Drosophila melanogaster: one gene and its partners. The protein of the gene in region 3 binds, or shares a complex with, the protein of the main gene of each other region. Each region holds a gene or a part of one and is shown on either strand. Other genes may lie near its edges. The genes, in order: vir, fl(2)d and nito.

Region 1 (3,753 bases), about 15 Mb from region 3:
ACCATCTGGTGAAATCCGCCTGACTGACGCTTGGTGGCGTGGCCATGGACGGATTGGAGCGCCTCTGCAGCAGGGCAAGCACCATTTGGCCAAAGACCTGCCACAGCTCCTCGAAGGCCTGCGGCGGCAGATTGGTCAGGCAGCTTTGGTTTTGAGGTAGAAAGTTGAACAGCTCCTTGGCGAGCTCCCTGGAGGATCTGGCCTCCTCCTTTACACTATCCAGCATTGTTCGTGAGGGCGGCCTCGAGGCGGACACCTTTATTTGTGTCGGCAGGTCGGTAACGAAATCAATCTCGCGGTGTATATCACACAAAGTGGTACAGGTGGCCACACTCGCATTGGTCGGTACGTCCTCGAGCTGCAACTCCTGCTGCAGATCGCTCAGCGGACTCATGGGCTCAATTACGACATCATCTCGCCACGATAGCATTTCATCAAGTATCTGCCGAATATTTGGCAGGGGCTTTGGTTCGGGAAAGCATGTGCCCACATCGTGGTGCTTGATGAAGGAGGCTGTAGTGGTTCCCCGGGTGGTGGTGGTGTTCTTGTGTTGCGTGGCCTGGTTGCGCGTCTCTATCAGACCTTCCACTTGCACAGCAACAGAGCAAAGCGCGGGCTTGGGATCAGCGGGTTCCTCGTCGGTTTGCGTAGATTGGTTGACTCCGGGCTGATGGGCTTTCCGTTTGCTACGTGAATTCGGGCTCTTTGGCGTGGGCACGCTTACGTCTATAGTCTTGCAGTGCTCCCTTAGCTTCTTCATGATGTTCTGATCCCGCCGCAAAAGTCCACAATCGTCGCCCAGCCGCTGGGAGAACTGCATGAGTATGGACAGCACATCCTTGGCTTCCACGGGTAGTCCCCGCACTTGCAGCTGCTCCTGCAGATTCTCGCAGTTCCCAACCTGTACGTCCAGCTCCTTTTCCAGCTGTCCGCATCGCTCGCCGATCTGCTTGGTGCGCTTCTCCAGCTCGATCCTCTGTTGCTTCTCCTTCTGGTACAGATCCGTCACCTCTTGGGCGGTGCGCTGCAGGTCGGCCAGCTGTTTGTTTTGAGCCTGCAGCTGTTTCACCTGGCGGATCAGCTCGTCGTTCTGGGCTATTCGCTCGGCCAGCCGGCTTCGCTTGGCGTACACATCTTGGTTGCTCCTGGGCAGCGACACCTGCTTATACGGCGCCACCAGAGCATCTTGCAGCGGTGCGCTTGGGCCCAGAAGCTGATCTATATTGAAGTCGGAGAACTCGTCCAAATTCATGTTGCGCAGACTTGTTGTTGCTGGATTTCACGTGGTTGCGTGTTCAAGCGCCACTGCGGTTCTAGAACTTGCAGAAAACAAGGAGAATCCTCATTTTCCACACAATTCGCTAGTCGGTCACGAGTTGGACAATATTAAGCTGCGCATCTGGCGATTTAATACACAAAACAGAGAAATAAAACAAAATCCGCGTTTTTCTCTGCAGCCGGTCTCCAAAACATTTCCCTTATCGACAACCCAGCACGAGCCTATCGATATATATGGTATGGGACTATTTTATGGAACTCTTATAGGTCGTTCTCACTACTTCGTTTTTGATAGTTCACACTTTATTTATAATAAGAGGTTCGAATTATAGTTTGATAATATTGTAGAGGAAGTAAATTTTGAATTACTGATAATAACTAAATTTACATGATTTGCGTGCGTCCATTGAAGGGAAACAAATGTACTCTGAATCAGTGCGATTCCCTGCGTTAGGTTTAAGCCTATGGTTTTTAGGGCTATTTTACAATCTTTTAGAAAACATTGAGAGCATCATTACCAAAAATGGGGAATATTGAGAAAAAATCCAATTCATTTCTAGACATGAGCCAATTGTGACGTTAAAATTTGATGCATTGTTTTGCGCAAGCTACTAGACTGAGACAATTTTTGTTTAGTTTTTAAAGATGTATTCAACATATTCTAAAGCATACCCTCTTGAATACCCCTACCAATTGTAGTAGAGCAATTGATGATATCGATCACTTATCGTCTTAAGTTCCATCCCTAGCAGTTGCGGAAAATAAATAAAACTTCCGGACTGTAGAAGATTTTACTGAAAAAGACTCGATTTAAGCACACAACATGGCCGACGTAGACGACGGGTCCGAGCTGCTGTTCTTCGACACTTTCTCGCATGAGGAAGTGACGGTAAGTGCCTCCAGAAGCCCCCACTCGGTGCATTCGCTGAACCCCACTTCCTCCTCTCCTCATAGGACATCAATTTGGATTTGGTGCAGTTTCCCAAGCCGGTCTTCATCACACAGGTGCGGATCATTCCTCTCGGCGCCCGAGTCCAGGCAGACTTTCCCGGCGGCGTTCGCCTGGGCGCCACCAACCCCTCCAAGTTCGACCTGGAGTTCTTCGTCAATGACCTGGGAATGCCGGCTGCGTCGGCATTCGAGAACCTCGGCCTGCTGCGTTACAACCAGAACGACTGCATTCACTTGGATTGCTCGCAGGAGAAGATCGTCACCGACGGTCTGGTGCTGCGCGGCTGGTACAGCACCATCACACTGGCCATCTACGGCATTTTCACCAACTCGGTGACCGAGCCAATCGCCAGTCCAACGCTGCCCTGCGAGCCCGTGGGCCCGGAGATAGCCAACCTGAGTGGCGAGGTGCTCCTCCAGGAGGATGTGCTGAAAGACGAGTGGCAGGAGCCGATGCAGGCCGAACTGCTGACCGCTCACAAAGGAAATGTCAGCGATTACGATCCGGAGGACATGGAGTATGGAATGTCGCGGGATCATTACCACCAGCATGCCGAGGAGCAGGAGCAGCGAGAGATGCGACGACTGCGTCGGTCCACGCATTCCACGGATCACTCACCGCCACCGCCCAGAAGATCGCACACGCATTCGGAGAGCAACGACAGGGAGTACATCAGGTGGTAAGTGGTTATCTGTTTTATTTATTATATTCAGACTTATCACAGACCTTTCATTGCAGTTCCCGCGACAAGGGCTCCAGGGATTGGTCGCGTTCACCGGAGTATTCCAGCCATCGGTCACGTCGCAAGCGCTCCGAGAGATCTCGCTCCGTTGTGGACGAGCACAAGTGGCCCAGAACCCCGCCCGCGTCGATAGACTCACCGACACGTCCGCGTTCGCCAGACACGATGGACTACGAGGACGAGGACTCGCGCTCCCACTACAAGATGCAGTCATCTCACTACCGGCACTCCTCCGAGTCGCTGCACCGTGGTGAACGGGATCGGGACGATGAGGACCGATCGTGCACGCCGCAAGAGCAGTTTGAGCCCATTCTCAGTGACGACGAGATCATCGGCGACGACGAGGAGGACGACGCAGTGGATGCGGCTGCCATTGCGGAGTACGAGCGGGAGTTGGAGGCTGCTGCTGCCGCTGCTCCTCCGGCCATCGATGCTTTCGAGCCGTGGCAGAAGCCACTGTTGGTCTTTGAAGGGGACATGGCAGCCCACTTCTGCAAGGAGCTGGAAACTCTGAAGCTGCTCTTTAAGAAGCTGGTCCTGCAAACCCGCTGTGAGAATGTTAATGCCTTCAGCGAGGAACATGGCGCTAGTGTGGACGAAAGGGAGCAATTTGTGTACTTGGGTGAACAACTGAACAACCAATTGGGTTACCTAGCCCAGCACTACAAGCGGAGGAACTTTGTCCTGCAGCAGTTCTTCGGAAACGATGAGCTACATCTGCGACAGGCGGCTAACGTGCTGCAGATTGCCCTGAGTTTCCAGGCGGCATGCATGCAACCAC
Region 2 (3,753 bases), 5.9 Mb from region 3:
CTATTTTATATTCTGCGATAAGTTTTAAGTATTTTCAAACATCTAACTTCAATACTTCTTGCTTATATATTTTTTTTCAAATTTTTAAATTTACCGAATGATTGGATATCTACAGTATCCAAATAAATTTTTTATAATAATGTTATGTCATAAATTCAATTTATTTTTAGTCTGCTATAAGTTTAAAAAAGTATTTTAAAACTTCTAGGCTTACTACTTCTCTCTCAAAATTTAGAAATTACCGATTGAGGATTGGATTTTTATAGATACTAAAAAACATTTTCAAAACAATGTTATGTTATAAATTTCATAATATTTTTGCTTGGCTTCTACAAAATGAAAATTTTTTAAAAAGTACTGCTTAATTTTAAAGCATTGTAGCTAGAAATTTCAATTTCAAATGAGTATTATTGCTTTCAATATTGTTATCAGATTGTTTATAGCTAAAACAAATATATTTTTTTTGCAATGTCGGTTCATGTCATTATGTTAATAGGGTTGGAACTGAAGATATCAATCCGAAAAACTGCCGGCTTTGCTCTGCTATAAATCTGTACTGAAATATTATATAATGTTAACTACTTCTTCACATTATATAGATCAAATGTATGCACTTGTTTTGTAGCTTTTTTCCAGTTCTTAAACAAATTTAGAAACTATTTAGAATAATAGAACAATTTTTGGATTAACACTTATTTTATTTTATTTACATATTTGTACAACAGCCCTAATATTAGATATTTAATGTTGTTCATATAACAAATATCCCGAACATCAACAATATTTCCTTATGATCTAATGACCCTTATGATCAGTTAAGCTTTCAGCCCTTTATGCAATTGGTTATTTCGGTCCAGAAGGCCTGAACTTCAGGATCCTGCATTAAACTACGTTTCTTAGCGTTCAAAACTATGTTGAGGATGTCGGCATTTTTGCAGCAATCCCGTCTGGCGGATTTGCCATCCGGCGCCTCCGGGGAAAAGCCTTCCGTCTCCTGGTCATCCATTGGATCCACTTCACCCGCCGGACTGCCCAATTGTCCAACTGCAAAATAACAATGTATTTGGGGGAATCTATTGCTTAATCAACTTAAATACCTTTCTTGCACTTGGTCGCCTCTGTTTTCGGTTTTTCTGTCCGTTTTTGGTAGGGTTTTCTTGGTTTTGAGACATCTTTCGTCTTGCTGCGCTTGGCATTCGCATCGGTGGGCAGCAATTCGGGACTCTCGGCGGGATTATCCGCATCCTGCTGCAGGCGCCGCTTGACGTGCAGATTCAGGCGCTCCTTGATGTTTTGCTGTTCCAGTTTTATTTGCACACCAGTGGTTTCTGCCATGTTTTTGCGTTTTGAATATAAAAACAATATCCAAAACAGTCCACCAGTGTGACCCCTAAATAAATCTTACAAAAAAATAAACAGTAACGTAAGATACAACTTTCTCACTTGTATTTGATTGTTCCTAATTATTTCTAACTATGTAAATATCGTTAGTATTGGATGCAAAGCTATGGCGGTAGACGTAAGGAAGGAATTATCAGTGCAATTTAGAAGTTAAATAAATTTGTTATCTAATAATTATTTGGCAAAATTTGTGGCAGTGTGAACGGAACTGGGTTGAGTCTCCGCTACCCCATATCCGAGCCACGCACCCCAGGTCTGCATTTGTGTCGATGGCAAATCTGGTATTTTTCAGCGACGCCATGTTGGATTGCGAACAACAGTTAACAGCAGCAAACGAGAAATCAGCTCGCAGCGCAGAAAAATTAAAAAATATCGCCGTAAAAGTGAGCCCAACCGACCCAAAACATATGAAAAGTGTGAATTAAAGGACAATAAAGATATAAATCATTAATTAAGCTTTGAGCAAGCGCGAAAAGTACGCGAAATCAACGTTTTGCAAAACGTTCGCCATACGCGTCGCCATTGGTGTGAGCGATAGCTTGCCTGTGTGTGCGTGTGGTATTGGAGGAGGTGAGAGCGCCTGTGTGTGTGTGTGTTTGCGTGCGTGTGTGAGAGCGAGCGAGCGGCCCCTATGAAAAGCAACAGCAACAACGCCAGCAAAGGACCCGCAACAACAACAACAACAACAGCAAGAGTAACAAGCACAGCGTTTTAATATCCAAATAATGAGTGTCGCTGCAATGACTATGGACGATCAAAGACCCTGTATGAACAGTTACGACAAAATGCCCCCGACCAAATACGAGCAAAACCTAAATATCCTAAACAGCAGCCAAAACAGTGGGGCCACTGGCGGCCCCGCCTCCCCAACGCCCTCCGGCTTGGAGGACCACCATCATCATCACCATCCGCATCCGCACCATCATCACCATCAGGAGCAGCAGCAGCAGCAGCAGCAACAGCAACACTTGCAGCAGCAGCAACAACAGCAGCAGCAGCAACATGCAGCAGCTGTTGCAGAGGCTGTTGCAGCCGCCGAACAGCGACAGCGCTTGCTCGAAGGTATTTTGCACATTTTGGTACACTGCTATATGATCAGAGATCTATCTGATCTATATAATACCCCCTATATACTACATACATACTCGTTTCGAATACCGACAAAAAAAAAAAGAAAAGGAAAAAACCACGATCCAAAGTGTTGACTCTGTGTAAATTGTATAAATAATGCAATATATAAACAACAAGTAAACGTAGTCTTTTAGTTTATTTCTGCCCCCACTCCACTTGGGTTTCTTGTGTCATTTGAATTTGTTTATGAAAAACACTCGGTAAAGAACTCAACGTATATATTATGTGAATCGAATCGAAGCGAACACTCTTTGCAACGAACATTCTTTCAGCGGCGTTTTGGTTAACTTTATTTATTTATTTTTTTCAACACCACCTCGAGCAAACCGTCGAATGTAGTGAAAGTGCTTTCAAAAAGGACCATGCATATAATAATCTATAATACCTAAATATGAACTAAGTTAAAAGGCAACTGACGCCTAAAGTTATCAAGTGATTACAAAGTGTTGTGCAACAGAACTATCTAAAATATAAAATATGAGTTAAATAATCATAAATAATATATGAGAATCGTAACCAATTATAACCAGTAAGCTGAGCTAAGCTTTAATATTGAAAGCAATCGTACTTAAAATAAAAAATTATAAAATGAATCATAAGAAGATAAGGTTAACGAAGTAAAGTTTAAGATTTTATATAATCTTAATGAGAAAACCGGGCTGATAATAACATCAAATGAATAGAGCATATCAAGTAATAATAGTAGAGAATCCTAATCGGAGATTTTCCTCGTTTTCCGTCGTTTTTGCGGTGTACAGTTTTCGTTTTGCGACCACTTTTCGTTTGCCTACGTGCCCGTTGAAGAAGAAGAAGAAGCACAGCAGCAGAGAAGTGGAGAGGAGAAGAAGAGAGCCAACGTGTCTGCGTCCCCTGCCCCACCCCCTGGACCCATCTTATTCTCTCTCTTCGCGCCCCTCACGCTCTTTTCGTCGCGCCTAAATATAAATAATAATATTAAATAATCAATTGAAAATGTGACAGTGCATAACCAAAGAGAAAATAAAGTTGAAATTCTTTTTCTGTTGAAATTGTGTTAAAGAAGTGAACGTCAAATGAAAAAAACATTGCCTCGTGTGTTCAAACAAATACAAATGTTTAAATAAATGGCGCCAAAATACGGCGAACATGTGTGCGTTTGTGTGTGAGTGTGTATATTCACAATTGTTAAGCTTACTTAATTGATTTTTAAACGCTTAATTGGCCGCCAATCAATCAATTAAC
Region 3 (3,753 bases):
AGCTGAGTGACAGAAGTCCAGGCACCTAAGCCTCCGATCCACATACGAGTTGCCGGAGTCACTTTCCCGTATCCGATCTTGCACTGAAACTTGCCAATGTACTGTCCAGACAATTCGATCTTCGCTCGGTGAGCCATATCCAGGTTTTGGTAACGTACAAACGCGAACGCGTTCCCCGTACCCGGCGGCGGTCGCTTGATGTCGATGTCATCTACCACTCCGTATTTGCCAAAGATGCGACGCAGTTCGTCGTCGGCGATGGTAACCTCCAGATTTCCTGCAAACAGTGTGCGCGTAGAAAGAGGATCATCCTCGGGCTGCACATGGTGCAAGTAATTGGGGAACTTGTCCTTCTTGCTCTCAGGCTTTTCATAGGGAGCGTGTGGGCGTGGTGCCAATGGCCTCATTGGAGCATACTGATGGGGCGGCGCATGGCCATGGAGGTGATGCGGATGGCCGCCGCGATGCAAAGGTGGTCCGCGTGGCGGATGAGGATAGTCATGATGCAATGGGCGGTAATCACGTGGATGGACTGCGTGCGGATGCATATGGGGAGGACCGTACCGATCGTAGGGATCAATCGGAGGTCGACGGTGATCCAAAGGAACGCCTTGTCCCATAGGGGACCTCGAGTAGTGGTAACGTTCATAGTCCGGTGGGGACATTGAGTGACCGCGTGGTCTGCAAAGCATCTTAGATTAGCCAAGGCTAACAAAATAAATACAAAAATAAATCCCACCTATATTCCGGTCTGGTTGTGGACTTGTACACCGGCTCCACAATGGCCATCTTGTCGTAGATGATCAGGCGCGGCTTATGGTGCTTCGCCTCGCGTGCATCTTCAGGCGTTCGGAAGCAAACGTAAGCAACCCGTTCATCCAAGTCGTGCGCCAGTCGCACGCTAAAATCGCCAAACTTCTTGTACTCGCGGTACAGTGTCTCCTCGATAAAATCGTCCGGAGCCTTTGGCGGCAGGGCACTGACGCAAAGTACCTTGTAGCCAGCTGGTCGCTCTGCAGGCGGTGGACCACGCATGTAGGGCTCCCGGTGCGGGGAGCCATAACGACTCGGCGAGCGGTCCAATCGACGTCGCATGCGCTCCGGCGACAGGCGCTCCGGCGAATCGCCAGGCACGCCGCTGCCGTTGTCGTACCCACGACCCATGCTTCGCGAGTTGCGCGACAAACTGCTCCTGGAGGCCGGGCCCGGGGAGCGCGAGGCGCTACGCTTCATGTTGTGAATTTTGATTGTGATACGATCGGCTCCGGCTCCGTCTCGATGACTACTCATGGGCGGCTATTCCGGGGCGCTTTAACTCGGTGTGTGCTGCCTGAGAACTTTCTGGCAATTTAGTTCCGGGGATTCTGCGAAGAATTCGAGATTTGCTTTGTGAAAGTACGGGCGAAATGCAAGAAGACAAGCGGCGGTCAGGTAAAAAGAAAATGGCGGCGCCCCGCAAACAAAGAAAATCGCGTTAGGCGGAAAAATTCTAAAATCAGAGCAATTCAGATCGTTTTTAGAGTTCTTACCACTTCCGGCTTTTTTGGATGTTTATTTTTAAGTGCTAGTTTACTATTAAGTCGCGGATATTCCACAAATTCTTCAATTTCCTCCGGCTTTGCAAATTCTGTATGCGTCGAAAGTTAACTGCGGTATTCGATAACGATACGTGTTTGCTATCGCCATTGATGGTCCCGTTCATGGTATCGAGCCATATTTGTCCATTTTATAGCCAAACGTTTGATTCATTTTTATATAATGACATAGTTATAATCATATATAATTTCAATGTAGTTTTTAATAGGTTTCTATTTCTGTAATATATTTCGGCGAACTTAGATATAACAATAAAAGTTTTTAAGTTTTAAGATCATAAATCTTTAAAACACGCGAGATTAAGACAACGCGATATACGTTTTGTAAAGGATTTTTTTATGAGGTGGAGAACTTTAAGTTGGCATTACTGTTCAAAATCGCGACCGACTTAACATTTGCCGTGTTATTGCCGATATATGACCACAAATGTTGGAAAAAGTCATCGAATATAATACGTCCAGATGGGACTTCATTCGAGCCAGCCGTGGCGTCATAGTCCAGAAATCATATATAAAATGTACTGTCGCAAGACTATCTTTCTGATAAATAAAATTCATTTTGATCGAATAATCCATCGTTGTTTAACTGCAATTGATAAATGTTAGTTGAAGCTGCTTTAATCGATATAGTCGCGCAGAACTGTCTCGATAGACAACTGAGGCGGGCACCGCATTTAAAATCGTCAAGGCTGCAGGTAAAAGGAATCACAGGTAGAAAACTCTTAGATACAGTTTAATTCTCGGTACGCCACCAGATGCAGGAAAATCCAAATGGCTTATTAAGAAAAACGACTAGGGTTTACACAGGCTGCACATACGAGAATTCCGGGTATAAAGAGTGGCGCCTGCGCTGGGTCGTGACATTATTCTAACGAAAGCACTGGCGAAATGGTTCATTTAGTGACTGAAAAGAAGACGCAGGAGGTGGCAACCAAAGTCCCCAGGCTCCTTCAACTCGGCGGCCACGTGGGGTTCGACACCCTACCGGACCAGCTGGTCAACAAGAGCGTCCAGAATGGCTTTAGCTTCAATATCCTATGCATCGGCGAGACCGCTCTCGGGAAATCCACTCTCATGGACACACTGTTCAATACCAGTTTTGGATCTACACCGAGCCCGCACAACCTGCCCAATGTGAAGCTGAAGGCAAATACATACGAGCTGCAGGAGAGCAACGTCCGCCTGAAGCTGACCGTCTGTGACACGATCGGATACGGAGATCAGGTTAATAAAGCGGACAGCTACAAGGCTTTGGTGGAGTACGTGGACAGCCAGTTTGAAGCGTATTTGCAGGAAGAGCTCAAGATCCAGCGAGCGATGGCCAGTGCTCATGATGGACGCGTTCACGCCTGCCTGTACTTCATCTGTCCCACGGGCCATGGTCTGAAAGCTATGGATTTGGTGTGCATGAAGCAGCTTGACACTAGGGTGAACATCATTCCCGTGATCGCGAAGGCCGACACCATCTCCAAGTCGGAGCTGTCGGGGTTTAAGGAACGCATAATGGACGAACTACGGCGGAACAATGTGAGCATATACCAGTTTCCCATGGACGACGAAACCGTGTCCGAAACAAATGCTGCGATGAACGGCCATCTACCCTTTGCCGTTGTTGGCAGTACGGAGTTTGTAAAGGTGGCCGGAAAGCAGGTTCGTGCCCGCCAATATCCATGGGGAGCGGTGCACATAGAAAACGAGGCGCACTGCGACTTTGTGAAGCTGCGCGAGATGCTCATTCGCACTAACATGGAGGATCTGCGCGAACAGACTCACACACGCCACTATGAGCTCTTCCGCCAGCGGCGCCTACAACAAATGGGCTTTGTGGACGTGGACAGCAACAACCAGCCGGTCTCCTTCCAACAGACCTTCGAGTCGAAGCGATCCGACCATCTGGCTTGCCTACAGGCCAAGGAGGAGGAAGTGCGCCAAATGTTCGTTCAGCGGGTCAAGCAGAAGGAGAACGAGCTGAAGGACAACGAGAAGGAATTGCATACTAAGTTCGACCGGCTAAAACGGGAGCATTTGGAGGAAAAGGCCCAACTGGAAGAGGCCCGTCGGCAGCTGGAAGAGGATTGCCAGGAGCTACAGCGTCGTAGGCTCCAGATGGCCAATGGTTCGCACACTCTCACCTTGGGCAGGGGCAAGAAAAAGTAGT

What was found.
Region 1: nito (region 3) and vir share a complex: the UniProt entries of both Drosophila melanogaster proteins name them as parts of the WMM complex.
Region 2: nito (region 3) and fl(2)d share a complex: the UniProt entries of both Drosophila melanogaster proteins name them as parts of the WMM complex.

What each region holds. Positions count from the first base shown.
Region 1 is NT_033778.4:23,364,603-23,368,355, reverse strand, and holds the start of vir (virilizer), read left to right. Parts: upstream 1-2,000; 5' UTR 2,001-2,101; coding exon 2,102-2,167; intron 2,168-2,232; coding exon 2,233-2,909; intron 2,910-2,968; coding exon 2,969-3,753. Other genes in the region: Ice1 (uncharacterized protein), read right to left, coding at 1-1,252. UniProt on the Drosophila melanogaster protein: Associated component of the WMM complex, a complex that mediates N6-methyladenosine (m6A) methylation of mRNAs, a modification that plays a role in the efficiency of mRNA splicing and is required for sex determination.
Region 2 is NT_033778.4:13,822,502-13,826,254, reverse strand, and holds the start of fl(2)d (female lethal d), read left to right. Parts: upstream 1-1,701; 5' UTR 1,702-2,126; coding exon 2,127-2,463; intron 2,464-3,753. Other genes in the region: CG13339 (uncharacterized protein), read right to left, coding at 824-1,044, 1,098-1,335. UniProt on the Drosophila melanogaster protein: Associated component of the WMM complex, a complex that mediates N6-methyladenosine (m6A) methylation of mRNAs, a modification that plays a role in the efficiency of mRNA splicing and is required for sex determination.
Region 3 is NT_033778.4:7,960,380-7,964,132, reverse strand, and holds the start of nito (spenito), read right to left. Parts: upstream 1,671-3,753; 5' UTR 1,530-1,670; intron 1,365-1,529; 5' UTR 1,291-1,364; coding exon 740-1,290; intron 682-739; coding exon 1-681. Other genes in the region: Septin5 (septin 5), read left to right, coding at 2,484-3,752. UniProt on the Drosophila melanogaster protein: RNA-binding protein that acts as an associated component of the WMM complex, a complex that mediates N6-methyladenosine (m6A) methylation of mRNAs. M6a modification plays a role in the efficiency of mRNA splicing and is required for sex determination.